2 linked regions of the Cricetulus griseus genome follow. The protein of the gene in region 1 purifies or fractionates together with the protein of each later gene. This does not show direct contact. Links are inferred from orthologs where the notes say so. Each region holds a gene or a part of one and is shown in the gene's direction. Other genes may lie near its edges. The genes, in order: Cabin1 and Ubn1.

Region 1 (10,075 bases):
CTAGCACACCCAAAGCCCTGAGGCCAGTTGATAAGGCTTCAGTCCCTGGGGTCAACCCTGTGCCGTACATATAGAAAAGATCCATTCCACTAATTAACCAGAGTTGACACTAGCTACCTCCAGTATGTATGACTGATACAAGAGAGTGGATAGGCATTGGAAGCCAACCATTGTTAGCTGGGGGCCCTTGAGCCTGCCCATGTCTGCACTCCAGTACCACTGGCTTGGAGGCTGAGGTGGACACCTGGGAGCCCTGTAGGGCTCCTTCCCCTGCCTGTCCCTGCTCCTGGAGGTCAGTCAGCCTCATTCTAGTCATGGTACTACTCCGCACAGTTGAGATGAGCAAATGCAAATGGGCGGGGGGGTGTCTTGAGATCTGGTTTCTCCATGTAGCCCTGGCTGGCTTGGAAGTTGCTGTGCTGACCAGGCTGGCCTTAGACTTAGATCTGCCTGCCTCTGCCTCTGCCTCCTGAGCACTAGAAGTACAGTGGGCACCACTGTGCCTGGCTCTGCATGCATCTCTGAGAAGTCAGGCAGACCCTCTGCCATTCTCAGGTCTGAAGAAAGTGGGAGACATCTGGATCCAGGTTGAGTCCAGGCCTCTCCAGGTTGGAAGGATATCTGGAAAAGGGCACCTGGTCACACCAGATCTCAGGGTGGCTCTCCCTACCACCCAGCCTCAAGGGCTGCTGCAGCCAGGTATGCAGGCTTCCCTGTGAAGACCCACAGGGATCTTTTCCTCAAAACTGTGGGTGGTGAGGGCCACTCAGTTCTGGGTAGCCCCTTGAGTCTATAGCTCCAGGAGGTCCATTCCGTGTCTCTGCGCTCCACAGTCTATTGCATGTCTGTGATGAGATCTCCGTGTATGGTGTCTGTGACGTCTCCTCACAAAATGAAGCCCTCTCCTAGCCTTGCACTGCTGCAACTGCTGAATACCTTCATGGCCACTGTAGGCTATCTTAGGCTGGCATCAGCCCTAGGAGCAGAGAGGTTCCTGGGGTCCCACACTGCTGTAGTTGAGAGTAACATATATGCATACCCCGTGTGGCTTTTTATGAGCTTTTATAGATGGACATAATATGTAATGGTGTTTGTTGTCCTGGGTGTGGATATTCTCAGCCCCTAGACATCCTTGTGGCCCAGAATGGAGGCTGTGGGGCTAGGGACTCGGGGCGCTAAGCGTCTCCGGCTCTCCTTCCTCCCCATCCCCTTGGCCCGCCAGAGCACGGGTTTACACTTCAGTGCATGGAATGCTAATAGCAAGCTGCCATGAGAACAGAGCACCACATGGATGCTACTCTGATCCCTATGACTGGCACTTGAGATCCGAAAAACCCAAAACGAAGCCTGTCAAGATCCAGGGCCTGTGCTAGCCAGAGCTTCTCCAGTGATTGGCTACAGGGACCCCACAGGGATCTGCCAGCTTCTTCCAGGCTGCCGAGTTCCTGTGTCAGATAGGTCTCATTAAGTGTGGGTTCACTCATCACTTCTTACCTCTGGCACCCGTGTTGCCCCTGCACCCTGATGGACCCCAAGTGATTGTCAGATCCCAGGCTTGTCATCAGGAGACCGCAGGTTGTGAGGGAGGGAGGGCTGGTGGACAACGCCTCATGGTTAGATGTGGACTGAGAGAAGAGAGGAGAGATTCTACCAAAACCAACTGATATGACTCAAGTGGTGGGGGCCTGGGTATCTTTGGCGCTGCAGTAGGGGAACGGAGCTGAGGGAAGTGAGACTGTAGGGGCTTGGCCTCCAGCAGCAGCTAGAATGTAACCGGTCCCCTCTGGCTCAGCATCCCTCCCCCGGGAGTTGTTTCTGTATCTTTACCAATACCTGTGCAGAGAAATGTATGCCCGGTATGGAAGCCACCATAGGGAACAGGTCCAGTGAGCATGTGGGATACAGCCATACAACAGAGAGAGGGGGCTGAGGCAGGAGGATGGTGAGTAAGGCAGACTCAGCCCACTCAGTAGGACTTTGCCTTGGAAAATTGGCTATAGAGCCTCGCTTGTACTGTCCTCTGCCATGGATGAGGAGGGAACAGGTAGAGGCAGCCATATACCTGTCCTCTTCTGGGTGACAAGAAGAGGCTGAGAGGTCCCTGGCTAGACCCTATGCACAGTGGCAGGCTTGAGGGAACCTCAGGAGGGGTGTCCCCACGGCTCCAGAGATACGGCAGCCTTCCTTAGCCTGTCCTTGCCCATCCCATAGGGCATCTGGCGGATCCCCGTGGATGAGATTGACCGGCCAGGCAGCTTTGCCTGGCACATGAACCGTTCCATCGTGCTGCTCCTCAAGGTTCTAGCCCAGCTCCGGGACCACAGCACCCTGTTGAAGGTGTCCTCCATGCTGCAGCGGACACCAGACCAGGGCAAGTGAGTGAGCGGGCCACCACACACAGCCTGGCTGGCCATCTTCTCAGGCTTGTCCCCACTGCTACCACTTGGCTCGGGGATCTTTTAGTCCAGAAACCACAGCCTTCCCTGAGGGACATCTCTTAGTATCTAGAATTCAAAACTCCACCTCTGCCTCGAGCACCCTAGGACTAACATGTCAATAGTCTGCACGTTTAGAGACCTCCTCCCCCTTCTGCCCAACCTGGGTCTCTCAGAGGCACTGACTAGTGTGGGCTATAGGGAGTAGACATTCAGAAAATAGCCTTGGCACCCCAGGGAAATAGGTGGACAGCAGAGATCCTGGACCTCAAGAACTGTCAGGGTTTCATTGGCCAGAAGGATGGGACACACGGAACAGAGGGTGTCTGCCACAGCTGGGCTAGGCTGTCTGTAAAGCATTATCCCAGAAACCAACCTGAGGGAGAAGAACTTCGCCCCCAAGCCTTCCTTGAGCCGGCACTTAGCCCACCATAGCACTGATCTCTGGCTAACCTGTAAGTCCAGAGGGCTCAGGGTGGTCACTGGGACCAAGTCAGAGGCTTGTTGAATATGAAATATGAGGTTCAAAGGGCACTTTGGGGGAACAGACTTAAATAGGTGGGAATAGTCACTAGTGCTTGTGGGATAAGTGCGGCTCACCACTTAGCTGCACTATATGGTTTCTGACACTGTCCCACTCTTTCTGTCCCCATGTGACCGCAGGAAATACCTACGAGATGCTGACCGCCAGGTCCTGGCCCAGCGGGCTTTCATCCTCACTGTGAAAGTGCTGGAGGACACACTGAGTGAGCTTGCAGGGGTATGTCAGCCTGCCCCACCTCAGCCCAGGCCTGTGTATTAGGGGCCACTGGTGGCCCTGCACAGGGCCTTTTTCCATGTCAGCCTCCCACAAGGCTCACATCACAATTCTCTGGGAAAGCCAGGCTGTGCCTGCCCTCCCAGAAGCAAATAGTCCCATTGCCCAGCCTTCCCCAACATGCGCTTCCTTGTGAGGAGGGTGGGACCCTGGGCCAGCCCCTTCTTGTCGCAGTGTTGTCCAGCTGGCACATGTACGTAACCAGGATGGCACTGGGTAAAGGGATTCGTGGAGGCTCTGAGATGGCGAAGCACCACTAACTTGTCTGTTCCCCTTGTAGGGGTTAGAACACCCAGGACCCAAGCCCTGTGGCCTCTCTGGAGCCAGGATGACCACCGATGTCTCTCACAAAGCCAGTCCCGAGGATGGCCAGGAAAGCCTCCCCCACCCCAAGAAGCTACCTCTAGCCGATGGCTCAGGACCAGGGCCTGAACCAGGGGGCAAAGTGGGCCCTCTCAACCAATTGCCAATGGCCACAGACACAAGGGACAGCACAGACCAGGGTGGGGAGCGGAAAGACAAAGAGAACCCCCAGGCAGGGCCCACTGAACTCATGGATACCAGTGAGGTTGCTGTTCGCCACCCAGACTCAGAACAGACATCACCTCTGCTTCCAGGCCGCCCTCCAAGGGACCGGCCCCCCGAGAGCCGGTCTGCTGAGCTTTCCCTAGAGGAGCTGAGCATCAGCTCCCGACAACAACCCACTCCGCTTACACCAAGCCCAGTAACGCTCACCACCACTACTCCCCCCACCATGGGAGCCCGGGGAGGTGGCCACCCTGAGGAGGCACCTCCAAGGCCTAATCGCAAAAGGAAACTCCTGGAGGACACAGAGTCTGGCAAGACTCTCCTGCTGGATGCCTACCGCGTGTGGCAACAGGGCCAGAAGGGCATGGCCTATGACCTGGGCCGCATTGAGAAGATCATGTCAGAGACTTACATGCTCATTAAGCAGGTAAGCAGCCACTGTGCTAACCTGGGGCTGCATCTGTCTCAGACGCCTTCATTGCCTGGGCTTCTGTTCTCCAGAAGGTTCCTTCTCGGCATATGTGTCAGGGCCCACCCCTGAGGTGGGCTTTAGGTATTGTGCCCACTGTGCACTTTGATTTTTTTTTTCTTTTTTGAGAGTAGGGTGTTTTTTATTTTGCGTGTTATCTCTGATGAGTAGGTAATAAGTTTAGACTCAAAAAACAATGGGGTGTGCATGTGGATTCAACCTTTAAGGAAGGCTAAACTACAGTTCAGGTCCAGCCCTAGAGTGTGGAAGCCCCTGGTCCCTGTACTCTGAGGGGCCTCTGGGTACATTTGAACCACTTCCTGCGATGGGTGGCTATGGTACCCAGCTGAAGGAACAGAGCTGGGAGGAGCCCAAGCATGGCAACCCACAGAGTCTGCCACCTTCTCGATTTGCTTGACCCCCGCCCCACAAGTAGATACGTTACTCCCATGGGAAGAATCCTTCAGGACTTGCAACTGGTGCAAATGGGGTGACTGTCCCTGGTGGTTGTTTTTCCCGCATGGCACCTTTGAGATCCTCTCCCACTGCCTAGTGTTGTTTCTGCCATGAATTCTTAGGAACAGTATGGATGCTGCTGCTTTTTCTGCAGGGGAGACCTGGTCGTTTCCTACATTGCCTGTTCCCATCTTTACTTGACAGTATGTGTGTGGCCATCTCCTTGAAGCCACGTGTGCTTGTTCGGGATAATCCCCCAGTTATCCAGTATCATTGCCCTCCATATGTGTGAGGCTTTCAGTCTGTGGTACACACTTAGCATGGCCCACGGTTACTGTCCTACCTGAACTTGGAAAAGGCACCTCCCATTGGAATCAACAACCCACTCTTAAGGTAGATCAGAAACCAGCCTGTAACAGCCTCTTCAACTGATCAGGTTTGTTTTGAAACAGGGTCTTACTGTGTAGTTTATGCTGTCCTAAGACACTCAATCTTGCATCTTGACTCCCAAGTGCTGACATTAAAACATGTACAAAGCCCAGCTCTCAGCTGAATTTGAAAGCTTCATTGGGGTCTGAGACGTCTGTCAATCTCGGTCCTGGAGGACATAAATGACTGGCTGTGGAAATGTGGCCTGAGGGCCAACTGGGAAGAGCCCTGACAGCAGCAATTGGTACATGGACCTTTGGCCCGCATTCCCACCCCGGCGACAGACTCCGGGTGCTGGGTGTGTCCTCACTGAGGTTAGGTCACACAGGGTGCCCTTCTTGAGCTGGGTTAATACGGCCCCTAAGGGAACGGGGCTGCGAGCAGGTCAGGCACCATGACCTAGGTACCCTAATTTCAGGCATCTCTCTGTTCAGGTGGACGAGGAGACTGCACTGGAGCAGGCTGTGAAGTTCTGTCAGGTCCACCTTGGGGCTGCTGCCCAGAGACAGGTAAGTTCTGTCTTGTACACAAACACATGCACACCACCCACGTCCAGCCTACGCCAGCCCTTCGTGCAGAACCTGTCCCACCCACACCAGAGCCTTGAGCTGCAGGCCCACAAGCAAATATGCCACGGGGCTGGTTCCAGTGGTCATCAGGGTGGTGGGGGGTTCTAGATAATGGGTCATGACCCCAAAATGGTAATGCCTTGACAGGACTCAGACATACATATGGATCCTAAGGTGCTTTGCTTTGGCTCCTTCACGAGTAGAACGGACAGAATTGAGCCATTAGGCTTCATCTAGAGAGGGCCTTAACCTCTGTGACTGGTAGACAGGTGATATCAGAGCCTGGCTAACTAGGATGGAAGCAGCAGGGAATGTGGGGTGGAGGCAGGGGCCAGGGGCTTATAGAAAGCCAGGGTCTCCAGGAGCTGATGATGCAGAGGAAGATGGCCAGAAAGGCCAGCACATGGGCTCCTTCTGGGCTGGGCTGAGAGCAGCCTCCAGGCTTAAGATAGAGCTCCTGGTGACCAGACGTAGTGACGCACACTTTATAATCCTGGCACTCGGGAGGCAGAGGCAGGCGGATTTCTGTGAGTTTTAGGCCAGTCTAGTATACATTGTGAGTTCGAGGACAACCAAGACTACATAGACAGGTCCTGTCTCAAAAAGGGGGATTTGGGGTGGACTCATGTTGAATCTTGCCAGGGAACAGAACAGCCTAGGAGGAGTATGGAGGCAAACCTGGCAGAACTAAGAGCCACCCCCTGTCAAGCCTTGAGAGCCTGCAGGTCAGTCTTATCAGAAGAGGCAAAACAGCCTTCTTGTTAGTAGTCACAGTCACTGTCCATGGCATTGTGGGGTCTGTCTTCTCGTCCTAGGAGTGGCCCAGTTTGGGGATGCCTTGTCCTAGGAGCCCCAGCAGTTGACAGTATCTTAGGGGTCCAGAGAGGCTTCCTCCTGGAAGAATGGGGCATGAGGGCATCAACACGGTCCAGACTCTAGGTCTAGGGGTACAGGGATTGATTCATCTCTGAGCCTGCAGGCTGTGTGTCAGCATCCTAGGTGAGAAGCAGAATCCTTGGCAGGATTGACCAACCGGCCAGTAGACCTCACCACTTGATTGTTGCCCACAAAGCCTGCTGTTTGGTGTATAGCCCAGGCTGGCCTATAATTCATGGCAATCCTCTGGCCTCAGCTTCGTGAGTACTGGGATTACAAGTGTTTACCTCCACCAAACAGTGGTGGCGTCCGCTAGTATCCCATGATCATCCCAGTGGGTGGGGGCTATGGGCAGGCTGGTCTTCTCAGTATCTCCCAAGGCACTCCACCTGTACCCTGTTCCCACAGAGCATTTTGACAAGGGCAGTTGAGACAGTTACAAATGGCCTAGGTCCATCTCTGGGCAATAGGAAGACACCAGGCATTCAGAGCTAAAGTCTCCTGCCCCTGTAGGAATTTCCATTTTGTTTTCTGGGGTCCCAGTTGATGTGCCAGCCTCATGTGGCCTCCTTAGAGGCAGTGACTTGCTTGTTCCTGGTTGGAGGCAGGGTAGGGATGCAGGCCTCGCTCTCCCGTGTCTGCCATCTTGCACATTGCCAGCATTCCTGTGACCTCCTGAGGCCAAGATGCAGGTCTGGCTTCTTGCCTCACCTTCCAGCGGAGTAGACACCCACCACATAACAGAACTTGCAGACTTGTCTCCATGTGAGACATTTTGAAGAGAGAACACCCTGGGTACCAAGGCAAGGCAAAGGGAACTATATGAAGAGTCAGAGACCAAGGGCCTGGCTTCCTGGAAACCAAAGGCCAAGCTGCAGGCGAACAAAAGGCCTGCTTGGCTAATTTGGGGTAGCATTAGTAATACCTTAGGGTCTCAAGCTTGGGGAATAAATTAGTTCATTTTTCCCCCTTGGAAAGTCACTCTCGTGGGTTCACCACCCATCCCTACAGCTCCAAGATTGGGCCCTGCATTCTACAGAGAGACATAAGAGAATGGGTTTCTCCTAGACTCGCACTGCAGAAGGGGCAGAGAAATAAGCCAGGTCTTCATGAGGCCCTGCTAGCATGGTTGGATGCCTCCAGCGAAGGAGAATCTGGATTCTCAACTCTGTGCTGAGGTCACTTGTGTCTTGATAAAATGTTCGAGCTTTCTGACACAACCAACAACCTCAGAGTGCTGCATGGCGTTGTGTTGGCATCCAGGGCCCCGATGAAGTGTCCTGGGGGACTGAACTGGACTGGCCTGGGACAGGGCAATGCATGTTCCGTTGACCTTCCTCACCTTGCTATGTTGCCACAGGCCTCAGGGGATGCACCCACCACCCCCAAGCACCCCAAAGACAGCAGAGAGAACTTCTTCCCTGCAACGGTGGCCCCCACAGCACCTGACCCCTTGCCAGCTGATGCGCTCCAGAGGCCCAGTGACTCCCACGTCAAGCCTCAAACTGTACTGGCTTCTGCCACAGCTGTCATCAGTTGCCCTCCCTCATCATCAACCTCTACCACAGACTTGTCCACAGATCCCGGAATTCCCCGGCCACACAGGCCAGAGGCTACCACCAGCATGACCTCTCTGAGTCCTGGTAAGTGCCCTCTCAATCTACCTGACCACCCGAGACCTTCATACTCTGCTTTCCCATAGCCAAGTCTTCCTCTACCAGCAATGCTTCCCCTGTAGAGTTGGCAAAGAGGCATTCGGGGGGGGGTCCTCTCACCAGGGTGACCCTGGTACAGTCAGCTGCTAGTCCAGGTAGCAGTTGCTGGCAGTATTTATGGCTTAGTTGGAACTGCCTGTGTCTCTAACTCTGGTAACCTTGTCCTCTATCGTAGTTAGGGTCTCTATTGCTGGGAAGAGACACCATGACCACAGCAGCTCTTACAAGGAAAACATTTAATTGGGGTGGCTCACAGTTAGAGGTTCTGTCCATTATCATCATGGCAGCATGCAGGCAGACATGGTACTAGAAAGGTAGGTGAGAGTCCTACATCTTGCAGGCAACAGGAAGTGAACTATGGCATAGAGACCTGAAAGCCCACCCCCACAGTAATACACTTCCTCCTACAATGCCACTCCGTGTGAGCTTATGGAGGCCAATTACATTCAAACTAGCACAGCCGCTGTGAGGAGGACAGGGAATAGGCACCACAACTGGAGAGTGTACCCTTGTCCTGGTCTCTGCCCCAGTAGAGCCCCACGATAACTAGGAAGATCAGGAGCTAGAGCAGGCCAGGCTTCTGTGGAAGGGTCAGACCTCGGCAGTCTTTGAGGCTCCCAGGAGTCTTCAGGACCACATCTGTCCCAAAGTGTAGGCATGACAAGCTGAAGGAGGCAGGACCAGGTTGATGGACTTGTGAAGAAAATACAGGATGTGATAGAGGTGGCACCGGCTGGCTTAATCAGGCGGGAGCTCTCAGCGTGGCAGGCAAGCAGGAACTTTCTTTCCTAGGAGGAAAAGGCATCAAGATAGCACACACGGGAAGGGAGTAGGTAAGGCACCATCCTCCTCACTGGTGCAGATACTCCTTGGGCATTTCCCTGTTGATTCCCAGGACCCTGGTACCATAGCCAGGCTCCAGAGACCCTAAAAGAGCTAAGATGTTCTCTAAGTAGCTTGCTGCCCCAACCAAAGACCAGTCTGCCCACCCTCCTTTCTCTTACGTTTCGAGACCTGGTCTGTGTGCTGGACACCCTAGTTTCAAGGTCCCCTGCCCATACCTGGAGCCATCCCTTAGGGCTTGCTTGTGGTTTTGAGTCACATCTGAGGCTGCTGCCTGCAGCCGTGACTGTGTGGTCTCCCCTCTCATCTGCACATCTGCTAGCCTCGGACTGCTCAGTGACAGGCCCGGAGGTTTCATGCACTCCCTGGGTTACATTGTGATTTGTGCCTGTGTAGGAACCCAGTTCTTCACAGTTGTGCTCTCTGTCACGATTTGTTCTAGAGGATCCTCTGAAAGCCACAGACCAGAGCAGTAAAGATCTGGGGTGGGCTCAGGCTGGCATGCACGAAGGCGCCACACCGAACAGTCAGAAAGCTGCAAGTGACAGTTCCACCTCCAGGTGTCTGATCACAGCTCCTCACACTTAGCAAACAAACGAAGCCACAGTGTGTGGTAGTAAGTTCCAAGTGCAGGAGGCACAGGAAAGTTAGTTGCTATTAGTGGGTCATTCAGGCCCCCAAAGACCTAGCCTGCTCCTCACCTCAGGTTGTCTTACCCTCTGCTTATCCCATGTGTCCCATGACTTTACAGAGTCTGGGGATTGGGCTCCAGACCAGTGTTGGGGATGAAATATTCCTAGTTCAAGGTCTCCTATGCCGTTGCATTCAGGTCATTAGCTGATCACCTGAGTGTGTAACAGCCCCAGGTTCTTAATGGGGCCTCTTCCCTCATGGGTCTCTTTGTAGACAATCTAGTGTTCTGCTAGAGGAAGAAGGAA
Region 2 (10,840 bases), on another chromosome or scaffold:
TTTACCCTTAAAAACTAGCTTTTATCTCTAAAACATTCAATTAAATCACCTCCAAAGTTAACTACTTCACCCAGGAGTCTCTGTGCTGTTCTTGAACAATTACACAACATTCCACTTGAGGTGTCCCTTGCAGAACTTTTGAGAGTCACTAGCTGGTTCCTAACTCCTGACTATGTCCCCCCCCCCCACCCCCTTTCAGGTTTTGCTTTCTCATAGTAAAGAGCCCTACTCTTCTGTCTTCTCTGGATCTTGACTAGCTCTATCTAGTCTTCTGGGAGACATAACTAAACTGCACACAGTTTTCGTGGAGAGCACAGTACAAAAGTGGAAAAATGTATCCTTTCATATTAGAAGTGATGCTGCTTTTCCTCACAAAGCATTCCCATATGATGATGGCTTAGGAAGGTGAAATGGCTTGCTTAGATAGAAGAGCAGGTAGAACCAGTTATTTGATACATGTTAGGCAGACAACATATTCAAAACTATTTCCCCAAGTACTTTGCTGCCAACAGCTGATCTGGAGATCTCACCTCCAGAGATAGTACACTAAATAAACCAGCCTTAACACTGAGCACCAAGGAGGTTGTCCTTAACAGCAGTGCTGCAAACCCTTATCCCTTGTTCACTGCCCACCGAACAAACAAACAAACAAACAAACAAAGTACTTGAGTCCTCCAGTAGGTTTCATCTTTTGCAAAGTACTGGGCATTGAACCCAGGGCCTCATGAATGCCAAACACATACTACACTACTAAGCTTTACCCTGAGCCCTTCTAAAAAAATTTTTTTTAATATGGACCCCATCAAGGAACTAAGAGGCAACTAGTACCTATAAATGACTTCAAGCCTTCAGTACTTGCTATGCACCTACTTGAGAGCTTACTGTTTAGAAATCATACCATCACTACCAGAAATGGGTTTTATGTATGTATTCAGGACATGCCCTTTATCACCGGGTACTCAAGTTTATACAACTCAGATTTCCTATGACTTACTTAGTTCTAATATTTTTGTGTATATAGAGAAACCACTATATATCCTTCTAGGATTTTAGCATTAAAAAATTACCAAATAATGGCTTTTATACCTTAAATAATCTGAATGAGTTTCCATATTTCTTTCAGACATGTCTAATTTTTCATTTAGTCACCCTTAAAGTGTGGCTAATAATATTGCCTATGATTCCCTAGAATCAGTTATCCCAGACAAGAAGCCTCATCTTTCCCACAACCCAATAAAAATCCATATTGCCTTTTCTGTTCCTGATCATCCAAACTGGACTCCCATCTTGTCTTCCATCAGCTTTCCTAGACCTTGCTGTTCTCCACTGACTTTGCCCTCTTCCATCATCGTTTCCTAGTTACCCTGGTTACTTTGCACACTATCCCCACTGAATTATTAAATCTTGATCCCTTACTGAGGCGAGGACCACAACATTCACTGTCCTAGGATTTCCTTCATTATCTAGCACTGTGGAATGTAGACTCATATGCAACACAACCAATATCTGCTTTTCTTATCAGGATAATCTTATTTAAGTGGTCTATGGCAATAACACTTTGCTTCCTTACTGAGGCCGGTGGGGCAGTAGTGATAATGGGGATTGAACCCAAGGCTTTGTACACGGCAGGCAAGTACTCTACCACTGAGCTATAGTCCAGTCTCAATTCATGGCATTGAACAACATTCCCTCTTCCACAGTCTCTGCTCTTACAACTCAGAGTAATCTTCCACTGCCACCACAAAGCTGGTAAGTTGGCTGGTGAAAAGAAAATGGGGGCAGGGTATAGCTGTACTGTGAAGGTCAACATACTATGCAAACTGAAACCTGGAAGAGTACTCCAACACTTAAACTCCTCAATGTGTAAAGCAATCCGTTAGGGCCTTTCATATATAATATTATATGTTGCTTTTAAGGAATTAATATTTTAGCCATAGTGTCAGATTTAGCAGAAAAATCATTTTTTAAACTTAAAGTAACATTTTTCTTTTAAGAGTTATAAATACAAAAACAATAGCTTAAAGAAATCAGGTTATCTAGCCAGAATTAGGCAATCATCTTGTACTGAGGAGAGAGTTAAGCCACTGTAAATTCAAGTTAATACACATTCTTCCCTCTGTGTAACTTCTTAAACTGCTTTCTGTAATATCAAAGACCTCAAAGTAATGATTCTAGATTCCTCCAGTACAGCACATATTGGGAAATAAAGTATTTTATTAAATAACATCTTAGCTTTCAGTGTACCTCAGAACCAGACCATACTACATAGTCATTAAAAGAAATCATCTGGGGATGTAGTTCAGTGGTCAATGGCTTGTTTAGTCTGGGCAAGGCTCTAGGTTTCATCCATAAGGCCACACAATTTTTAAAAAATTGATGAGAGAGAGAAGCGATCGGGAAATGTTGAAGATATAAGAAACTACTTCAAAGTGCCTATAATATGTAGAAAGTTATAAACTCTGGTTCTTACCTGAGGGATATTGCTCCCTCGGGTAAGAGGTGAATAATAATTCACCCCAGAATAATTTTTGCCAGTTATGAAAGAAAGAATACCACATTTTATTTAGGCATGAAGCCAGAATGAGGTGCCATTTTTTCACACACACTTTAGCAAGCCTGAACTAAGGAGTCTCAGAACATTCCCAAAGCAGCTCAGACTCAGAGAAAAACCCAAAGATATCATGAACTCTCAGGGAGTACTACTCACTGGTCTTCTGTTCCAAAAAACTTCACAAAGAAGCATTTCTTTCCACGTGGTTTCTTCAAGTCCTTAGGTGGATTAACAATCTGAAGGATAAAAGGGAAAAAAGGTATGATAACATAGCAGCCTACTAGAAAGGTAATTTGCTATAGCTCTAACTAGGCTAGGGAATAAAAAAAAAAAAAAAGACAAAAACAAAACAAAGAAACCAAAGCTTTATATTTGTCCCATATCTGGCACTTTTCTATTTCGATGTGAAGAAATTATTTCTTAAATAACCCATAGCTAACAGATTGTGTACTGTTTAGTAGATACAGTTTTTACTTCAATGGCTCCTGGTATACAATGTGATCAATGTATACATGTGATCAATGAAGAAACAGAAAACATTCTTCAAAATACTTTCAGTGCAGCAAGAGTTAAAGACAGGAGATGGTGAAAATAAAGGACCACTGAGGCATAGGAAACACCATATTGCAAAAAGTCTACAGACATTTCCTGGACTGCTAGCAAGACTAAAAAACCAGAACATTTGGAAAGCTCTGATGGATCACCTCTTGAAAAATCTGGAATGTCAACTTCTGCAGATATGCACTGGAGCAGCACATATGGTAACAGGAGAAGATTTAAACTTAGTTGGGACAAAAATACTTTGGCTTTTCACTAACCTACATTTAGACTTCTCTCTTCCTGGAGAATCTGTTTCTTCTCTCTTAGATTTAAACACAATGCTACATTCTGATCACAATTGATTTCCAAGATAAAAAACAACAACAAATTTCACAAACCATCTCTGACTGAAGATGTGATTACTGCACATTAAACACTCTGGTTTATGATATTCCTTCAAAACTGATAACTAGAAGTAAAATACTAAGTCTTATCTGAACAAGCCCATTTTAAGTCAGTGTTGGGAGATTAAGGGAAACGCAACACATTCTCCCACAACCCTAACTTCAACTTCAGATGTCTTCCTTTAATAGCAGCAATACACTCACCTTTCCTGGCCAGGGAGGATATCGGCCCAGTTTTCCCCTAGAGAAAATAATACAGAGTCAGAACTTGCCCTGGAAAAGCCAGTCCATCTCCTTCAGTCCACTCAACAAGCAGTTTATACTCCTATAACTCCAGCCTGGCACTTTCAAGGGCCAGAACAAAAGCAGGCAAACTGGGCCTTCCACAGATGGGTTGAGGACCCTCACACATGGAATACAGAAAGTTGTGTGTAAACATACACACACACACACACACACACACACACACACACACACACACACACACACACACACACACACACACACACACACACACACACGCCCGCACCCGCGCTGAGGTCTGTGCATTCTTTCACTGAGAAGGAATATAGAATAACAAAAGCATTAAGAGTCGGTGGTCTGGGGCGTCCCAGTGACAGGGTTGGATACAGTTCTCTCCGTAAACAGACTTCCCCTAAGTCTGGTTTAATTCAGCCTTCCTTTGACAAATGATCATGGAAACCTTCCTCTAGGTCGGGAAACTACGCAGCTCCAAGGAGACAATGGTCAGTCTTGATTCTGGCTGTTGTCGGGGACACAAGGAACAGAACAAGAGGCACTGGTCACCGCCTAGCTATCATTTGCAAAGGAGAAGTGCCCCCTCCCCTCGGTTTCTTCATGGGGCAGCTCCAGGCAGTCTGATTTCGCCACCTGGAACCGAGCCTCGAGCCCACGTCTGTCCCATCGGTTTGGACGGCTCTGTCCCCCGCGAGGTAGCCTCTCTGGCTTTGAGAGGAGCCCCGGAGCGACCCGGGACTCGGGAACCCGCGCGACAACGGAGTTCTCTGCACTGGCAGCCAGCGTCCGGGTTCCAGAGCCATAGGCCTCCCCTGGGATGGCCTCGGGGTTCAGAGCCCGGATCGCCGCGGCCACCCTCGGCCTCGGTCCCCCGGGGACCGGACAGCCCCTTCCGCCCAAGCGTCGTTCGCAGCACGGCGGCACCTCGTCTTCCCCAGTCTCCGCCGCCAAGAGCGCATAATAAAGCAACTCCTGGGCCAGCCGCAAACGCCGCACCTAGGAAAAACAGCTTCGCGCCGTCTTTCCCTCAGCCCTGGCCGCCGGGACTCACCACACCAAGTCGCCGAGCCGCAGACTCACAGCCGCCATCTTACCACCCAACCACCGCCGCCGCACAGGCAGCCGGGAACTTCAGGTCGCCGCGGCACCGCCCATTGGAGTGGGCCTGACCACGTGACGGGGGCCTGCTGTCATCCGCCAAGCGGGTGCGCTGACGTCACCGCGTCGCTGGCGCTCATTGGGCGGCTTGGAGACCCGTGACTTAAGCGCCGCGCTCTCAGCGCGTCGAAAACCAGAGACTCCAGGCTCCTGTCCCCTCCTCCCTCCGGCTCGTGACAACGAAGCGTCCACGGTCCAAAGCAGCCGCGGCGGAGGCGGCGCGGCCGGACTAGCGCGAAAGGAAGCCGACTGAGCTGCCCAACCTCGCTTCCGGGGCTCTGGACTCATCTCAAGTCTTTCTTGCCGCTTCCGTTACGGCCGTTAGTCGGGCGCGGGCCCCGGGCCGTTCCTGAGCCTGAGGTGCCGGGTGGACGGGTCTTGGAGCTCGTGTGCTGCCCTGACTGACCCCGGCGCGGCCTGGAAGCCCGTCTCGGTCCAAGCCGCGGGCCCGAGAGGCACTGGTTTCCCGCGAGCCCGCGCTCGGGGCGGGAGCTCCAGCCTGCTGAGGAGCGCCCCGCTCGACGGTCGGTTTCCGGAGCGGCATCCGCGCCAAGCGTCCTCGGCGTCGCCTGACTTGTTTTCTTGGACGTGGACTTGGCATATCTCGGCTCCCCCCTCCACCCCCCCCGTCCGGCTGGCGAGAGAAAGCGGCGGTTTGTAGAGAGGCTCCCTTCCCACGGGCTGGGGACCCGGCCATGGGCTGCGGCGCGGGCCCTCCGCGCGCCCGCATGCAGCGCTCGGGAGCTGGCCGCTGAGCCGCGCCGCAGCCCGGGGGTCCCGGGCCGGCATGAGGACCGCCACGGGGGGACGTCTGCGGCCCGCGTCGGCTCTGTGGACAACGGTGTGTGCCGCGGTCCGGTCCAGCCTCCCGCGTTAGCCTTTGTAAGTAATGTCTCACTTTGCAAGAAGTTGTGACAGCTGGAAGACAGATGACAGGGTAGTGGGAACTGTTAGCTGCCCAGGGGCAGGGCGGCTGCCCTAACTTCCTCAGACGTGGTTGAAGCCTGACTTTTGAGTAAGAAAGTCTCACTCCTAGAACAGACGGCTGGGTGTACTTGGACTTAAGGGTGGACTTAACTTACAGCTTACTCTCTTGAGTCAGTGCCCGCTCGGAAGGTGTCTGGTCGTGCCCATTTCCCTAAGGCAGTGTCCCCATGTAGAGGCTTTGATTGTAAATTGCTCTGGGGACCGTAAGGTGAAGCTGGGTGGGCGCCTTGGGTTAACCCCAGCCTGTTGTTTTTTTTTTTTTCCCCTTTGGAAACAAGTTTTTCAGAAATACCACAGATTAGTTGCAGGGCTTTCATTTACACTGTGTTATTTTAAACACAAACTGACCATTTAAAATGTATTTAATATTTCATAAAATTACTTAATAAATTTCAACAAGTGTTCTTAATTTAGAAATAGAATTTTGGAGGAATTAAAAAATATTTTAATGACTTTAATTGTGAATCTTTACAAGTAGACCTAGAAGTGATCCCATTAAAGTAAGGAATAGGGCAAAGGATACATTGTCTAATTCTAGCTAATGAAATAAGACAGCTATCTAATTCAAGCTAATGAAATAAGGTAGGAAGCAAAAATAAATGTGAAAGGAAAATTGTCATTTTTGCAGATAATAAAACTGCATTTTGCAACAAAAAAGAAAAGCCATTAAATAAGGAAAAATTAGTGATAAAATTAGCATACACGTTTCTCTGTTTCATCAGTAGTCTGTTCAAAAAGTAAAATGGTTAAGAATGTGTGAGAACAAAAACAAACAGTCCCTGGGAATACCTGGAGCTACAGAGGAATCCAGTGGGTTTTGCATAATCTTTTTCCCTCCTGGTTTTTCAAGGCAGGGCTTCTCTGTAGTCCTGGCTGTTCTGGAAACTCACTCTGTACACCAGACTGGCCTCAAACTCAAAAAGATCTGCCTGCTTCTACTGGGATTAAAGGCATGAACCACCACCTCTCTAGCCACAATCCTTTTTAAAAAGAATTTTCCTCCCCCTTTGTGGCATTCTAATGCTTAACTCATTCGGAATATTTAAAACCTAATCTCACAGCCAGGGCTATATGGAGAGACCCTGTCTCAAAAAAACAAAGGAACAAACCCTAATCTCTAGGTTTGTGTTTGTTTTTTTCCCCCCCCTTTTTGTCATTTTATTTGGAGATAGTTTCATGTAATCCAAGCTGGCCTTCAACTCCTTATGTAGCCAAGAGTAATTTTAAACTTCTGATCCTCCTGCCTCTGCCTCCACAATACTGAGTTTACAGGTGTATATTACTATTCCCAGGTTAACACTGGCAATTGAACCCAGGGCCTCCAGAGTACTAGGAAAGTACTCTACTGTGCTACATCTCCAGCCCATTCTTAGTTATTTTTAAGACTTGTGAAATTTCATTAATGTTTTGTTTACAAATTTAAGAATTTATATGTCAAAAAATTACTTGAGGGTCTGCAAGATGGTTCAGCAGATAAGGGTGCCTGCCTCCAAGCCTGAAGACCTACATTCAGTCCCTGGAACCCACATGATGAAATGAGAGAACCAACTTCTGTAAGTTTTCACACATGCACACACATGCATGTAAAAGTAAAACTTGGACAAATGCTTGAGACAACACCAGTTTAAACAGATTAAACTTTCTTAACTATTTTAAACCAGGTTAATTCTCTTAAGTATTTTAAGTTACAGTAGTTTTTTTCTTAATTCTCTCAGATACTTCTTATTTCTTTTCTTTTTTCTTCTGGTTGTGAGGGTGGGGATGTTTCCAGCCCTGGCTTTCCTGGAACTTGATCTGTAGATCAGGCTATAGTTCTTGGCCTTAAATTCACAGAGATCTACCTGCCTCTGCCTTCTGAGTGCTGTGATTAAAGACATGTGCCACCACTGCCCTGCTACTTCATATTTCTAAAGAGATAAACTTGTAAGCCTTATAGTAAGTTCTTTCCAAGATCATAACTCATAAATTTAATTGTATAAGTGCAATTTGGGTTCTTGTATGGACTTTAGAACTTAATTACATTTTCTTAAGTATTTGAAATTAAATACATAAGTTTAACATGACCTTTAATATATATCTGATTGTCTTAAATTGTTTCAAATGGCCTAGCCCAAGAACAGAATAGTATGTTGTGATGATCATAAAACTTCTTAACCAAAATCTGACTTGTAAGCGTTAATAAGTGATTTACTTTGTCCTCTAGTCTGTCTCCTGCTGGCTAAAGCTTGCACAGACTTTTATAGCTAACAGGAGTATTGTTACTGGCTGTGTGGGTTTGAGGCGAGCCCTCTAAAAACCTGTACTGAGATGAGGCTACATTTTAAAATTTTTGGCTAGACAGAAAGACTAGGATCTGGTTGCCACTTTCTTCATCCAATTGAGTAACTTGCTGATCGTTTCTTACAGTAAGATTGTGCTTCCTCTCACTGGGGAGCCTATAAGTCTTTAACTTTCAGTTCAGGTTTATTTTCACAGTCAGGTGAATTTTCACCAATGTCCTGAGACCTTTGGAAGTTTCTTTTTGGGTTCTTTTTTCCCAGTATCCTAGTGCATGTTGGTAACCATTTTCTATAGGCCAATCTATTTTACTGCTTCGTGCCTGATTAGAAGGATTTTTTTAAAAGTCTTTTGTATAGTTTTTACTCCCTTATCTGATCTTTATCACCTTGTTACGATGATAATGAATTTTGACTATATCCCCCCCCCCACGGAAATAGACAAATCATCCTGAATTCGTATTTATTGTTTGTTTTGTGAAGTACAGTCACATTTTGGAGGGGACTTGCACAAATGAGTCTAAAATTGTTCTGAAATAGGTTAAAAGCCAGTTATTATTATTTTTTGATAATTTATTTTTATGTGCATTGGTGTTTTACCTGCATGTATGTCTATCTGAGGGTGTCAGATCTTGGAGTTACAGACAGTTGTGAGCTATCATGTGGGTGCTAGGAATTAAACCTGGGTCCATTGGAAGAATAGCCCATGATCTTAACCACTGAGCCATCTCTCCATCCCCCAGTCATTATTTTTAAAAAGAAAATAAAGATGAACTTTTAATTTTAGTATACTAAAAGTATAAGAGTTTCCAAGACAGAGCAGTACTAGTTAAAGAATCTTTCAAGTACTTGATTAATGTAACATGGCTTTTAGCATGGACCATAAGTATATAAGGTCTGCTATGGTCTATGACAAATCAGCAGGGAAAGGAAGCTTATTCAGTAATTGGTACTGGGGAACAAACAAGTTAGATCCTATTCTCAGACCTTAGACCTTAGAGCATATTAAGTTCAATTTAGGTTAGAGTTAAAAGTGAATATCTATAAAAGACTGACAGTGTGATTTCTTCTATATGGTCTGTTTGCAAAGGGCTTTCTAGGCACAAAGGATATGAGAAAAAAAACAAAACAAAACAACAAAGTTTGACTGCATCAATACACAGGCTTTTGACCTGAATTATTTGATGTGGGATTATTTCTAAAATAGGGAAAATTTATATTTACAACTATTTACTTAAATGAGTTAAGGAAAATTTATCAATCAATTCTTCTTGACAAGGAAATTTTTTTAAATTTGTGTAATTGACAACTATTTTTGCTATTTTAAAAATGTTTATCTTTGTTATTTTAGTTTGACCTGGGCCTTCTTTTCAATATTAACAGAAATCATGCAGTGACACCTGCTAAGACTTGTTGGTAGCCATGTCGGAGCCCCACAGGGTCCAGTTCACCTCTCTCCCAGGTTCTTTGAATCCTGCATTTTTGAAGAAGTCCAGGAAAGAGGAAGTTGGAGGAACAGAACAGCATCAAGACTGTGAGCCAGCTGCAGCTGCTGTTCGGATTACACTCACCCTCTTTGAACCAGATCATAAACGCTGCCCAGAGTTCTTCTACCCAGAGTTGGTGAAGAACATCCGAGGGAAGGTGAAAGGCCTTCATCCTGGAGACAAGGTACATGCCAGTAGATCCAGAGTTGCTCTGCAGACCTAACATGAAGATACCAAAATGTTCACATGGGCCTTTCTTTATATCAGAGAGGTGAGGCTAGAGAGGCCTGGGCTTCCCCAAGATTACCACTGATCTAGAGCAAAAACTGGGTGGGAAGAGAATTCTTTTAAGAATCCTTCTCTTGACTTATGCATATCTCTTCTGACAAGTAGCCCAGTACTATCTTGAGTAGTTTCTGTTTCTGAATGCATAAAAATCTGCTTCTGTGTTTTTCTTTTTCTTTCTTTTTTCCTCTTTCTTTCTTTCTTTCTTTCTTCCTTTCTTTCTTTCTTTTTCTTTTTTTTTTTCCCCCGAGACAGGGTTTCTCTGTGTAGCTTTTGGAGCCTAATCTGGCATTCACTTTGTAGACCAAGCTGGCCTCAAACTCACAGAGATCCATCTGCCTCTGCCTCCCGAGTTCTGGGATTAAAGGAGTCTGCCACCACTGCTCCGCCTAAACTCTTAATACTTTTTTTTTTTTTTTTTTTTTTTTGCCATAATTGACTTTGTAGGCTTCAAGCTGTTTGGAAATAAGTTTGGTTCCTTAAAAATTATTTGTAACTGATCTTTTTCTTTTTTTTTTTTTTAAAGTTGTATTTATTGTGTATACAGTGCTGCATGTATACCTGCACAGCAGAAGAGGGTTGTTTCTTTTTTTTTTAAATTTTTAACTTTTTTTTTTGCTATGGGGAGGGGATGTGGGGTTTGTGTGTGAGAGAGAGAGAGACACCCAGAGAGAAAACATAACACTTGTGGGAGTTAGAACTCTCCTTCCATTATGTAAGACCTGGGAATGAAACTCAGGGTATCATACTTGGTAGGAAATGCCAAGAGTCTCATGTTGCCTAGGCTGACTTAGGCTCACCAGCCTTGATGTATTTCTTTTCTTGGCACATTTATTTTATTTTTTTTTTTAGTATGGAACTTCCAAACATGTGTGCTTTCAAATAAGCATGGAA

What was found.
Region 2: the proteins of Cabin1 (region 1) and Ubn1 purify together in Homo sapiens (affinity purification with western blotting; 6 studies listed by BioGRID, with this or other methods). This does not show direct contact. The link is inferred for Cricetulus griseus from reciprocal best matches to the Homo sapiens genes CABIN1 and UBN1.

Annotation. Positions count from the first base shown.
Region 1 is NW_023276806.1:262,932,373-262,942,447, forward strand, and holds part of Cabin1 (calcineurin-binding protein cabin-1), read left to right. Parts: intron 1-2,211; coding exon 2,212-2,375; intron 2,376-3,098; coding exon 3,099-3,195; intron 3,196-3,532; coding exon 3,533-4,207; intron 4,208-5,568; coding exon 5,569-5,643; intron 5,644-7,939; coding exon 7,940-8,222; intron 8,223-10,075. UniProt on the Homo sapiens protein: May be required for replication-independent chromatin assembly. May serve as a negative regulator of T-cell receptor (TCR) signaling via inhibition of calcineurin. Inhibition of activated calcineurin is dependent on both PKC and calcium signals.
Region 2 is NC_048600.1:41,642,837-41,653,676, reverse strand, and holds the start of Ubn1 (ubinuclein-1), read left to right. Parts: upstream 1-5,818; 5' UTR 5,819-7,451; intron 7,452-9,557; 5' UTR 9,558-9,596; coding exon 9,597-9,845; intron 9,846-10,840. Other genes in the region: putative oxidoreductase GLYR1, read right to left, coding at 2,708-2,787, 3,700-3,736, 4,805-4,842. UniProt on the Homo sapiens protein: Acts as a novel regulator of senescence. Involved in the formation of senescence-associated heterochromatin foci (SAHF), which represses expression of proliferation-promoting genes. Binds to proliferation-promoting genes.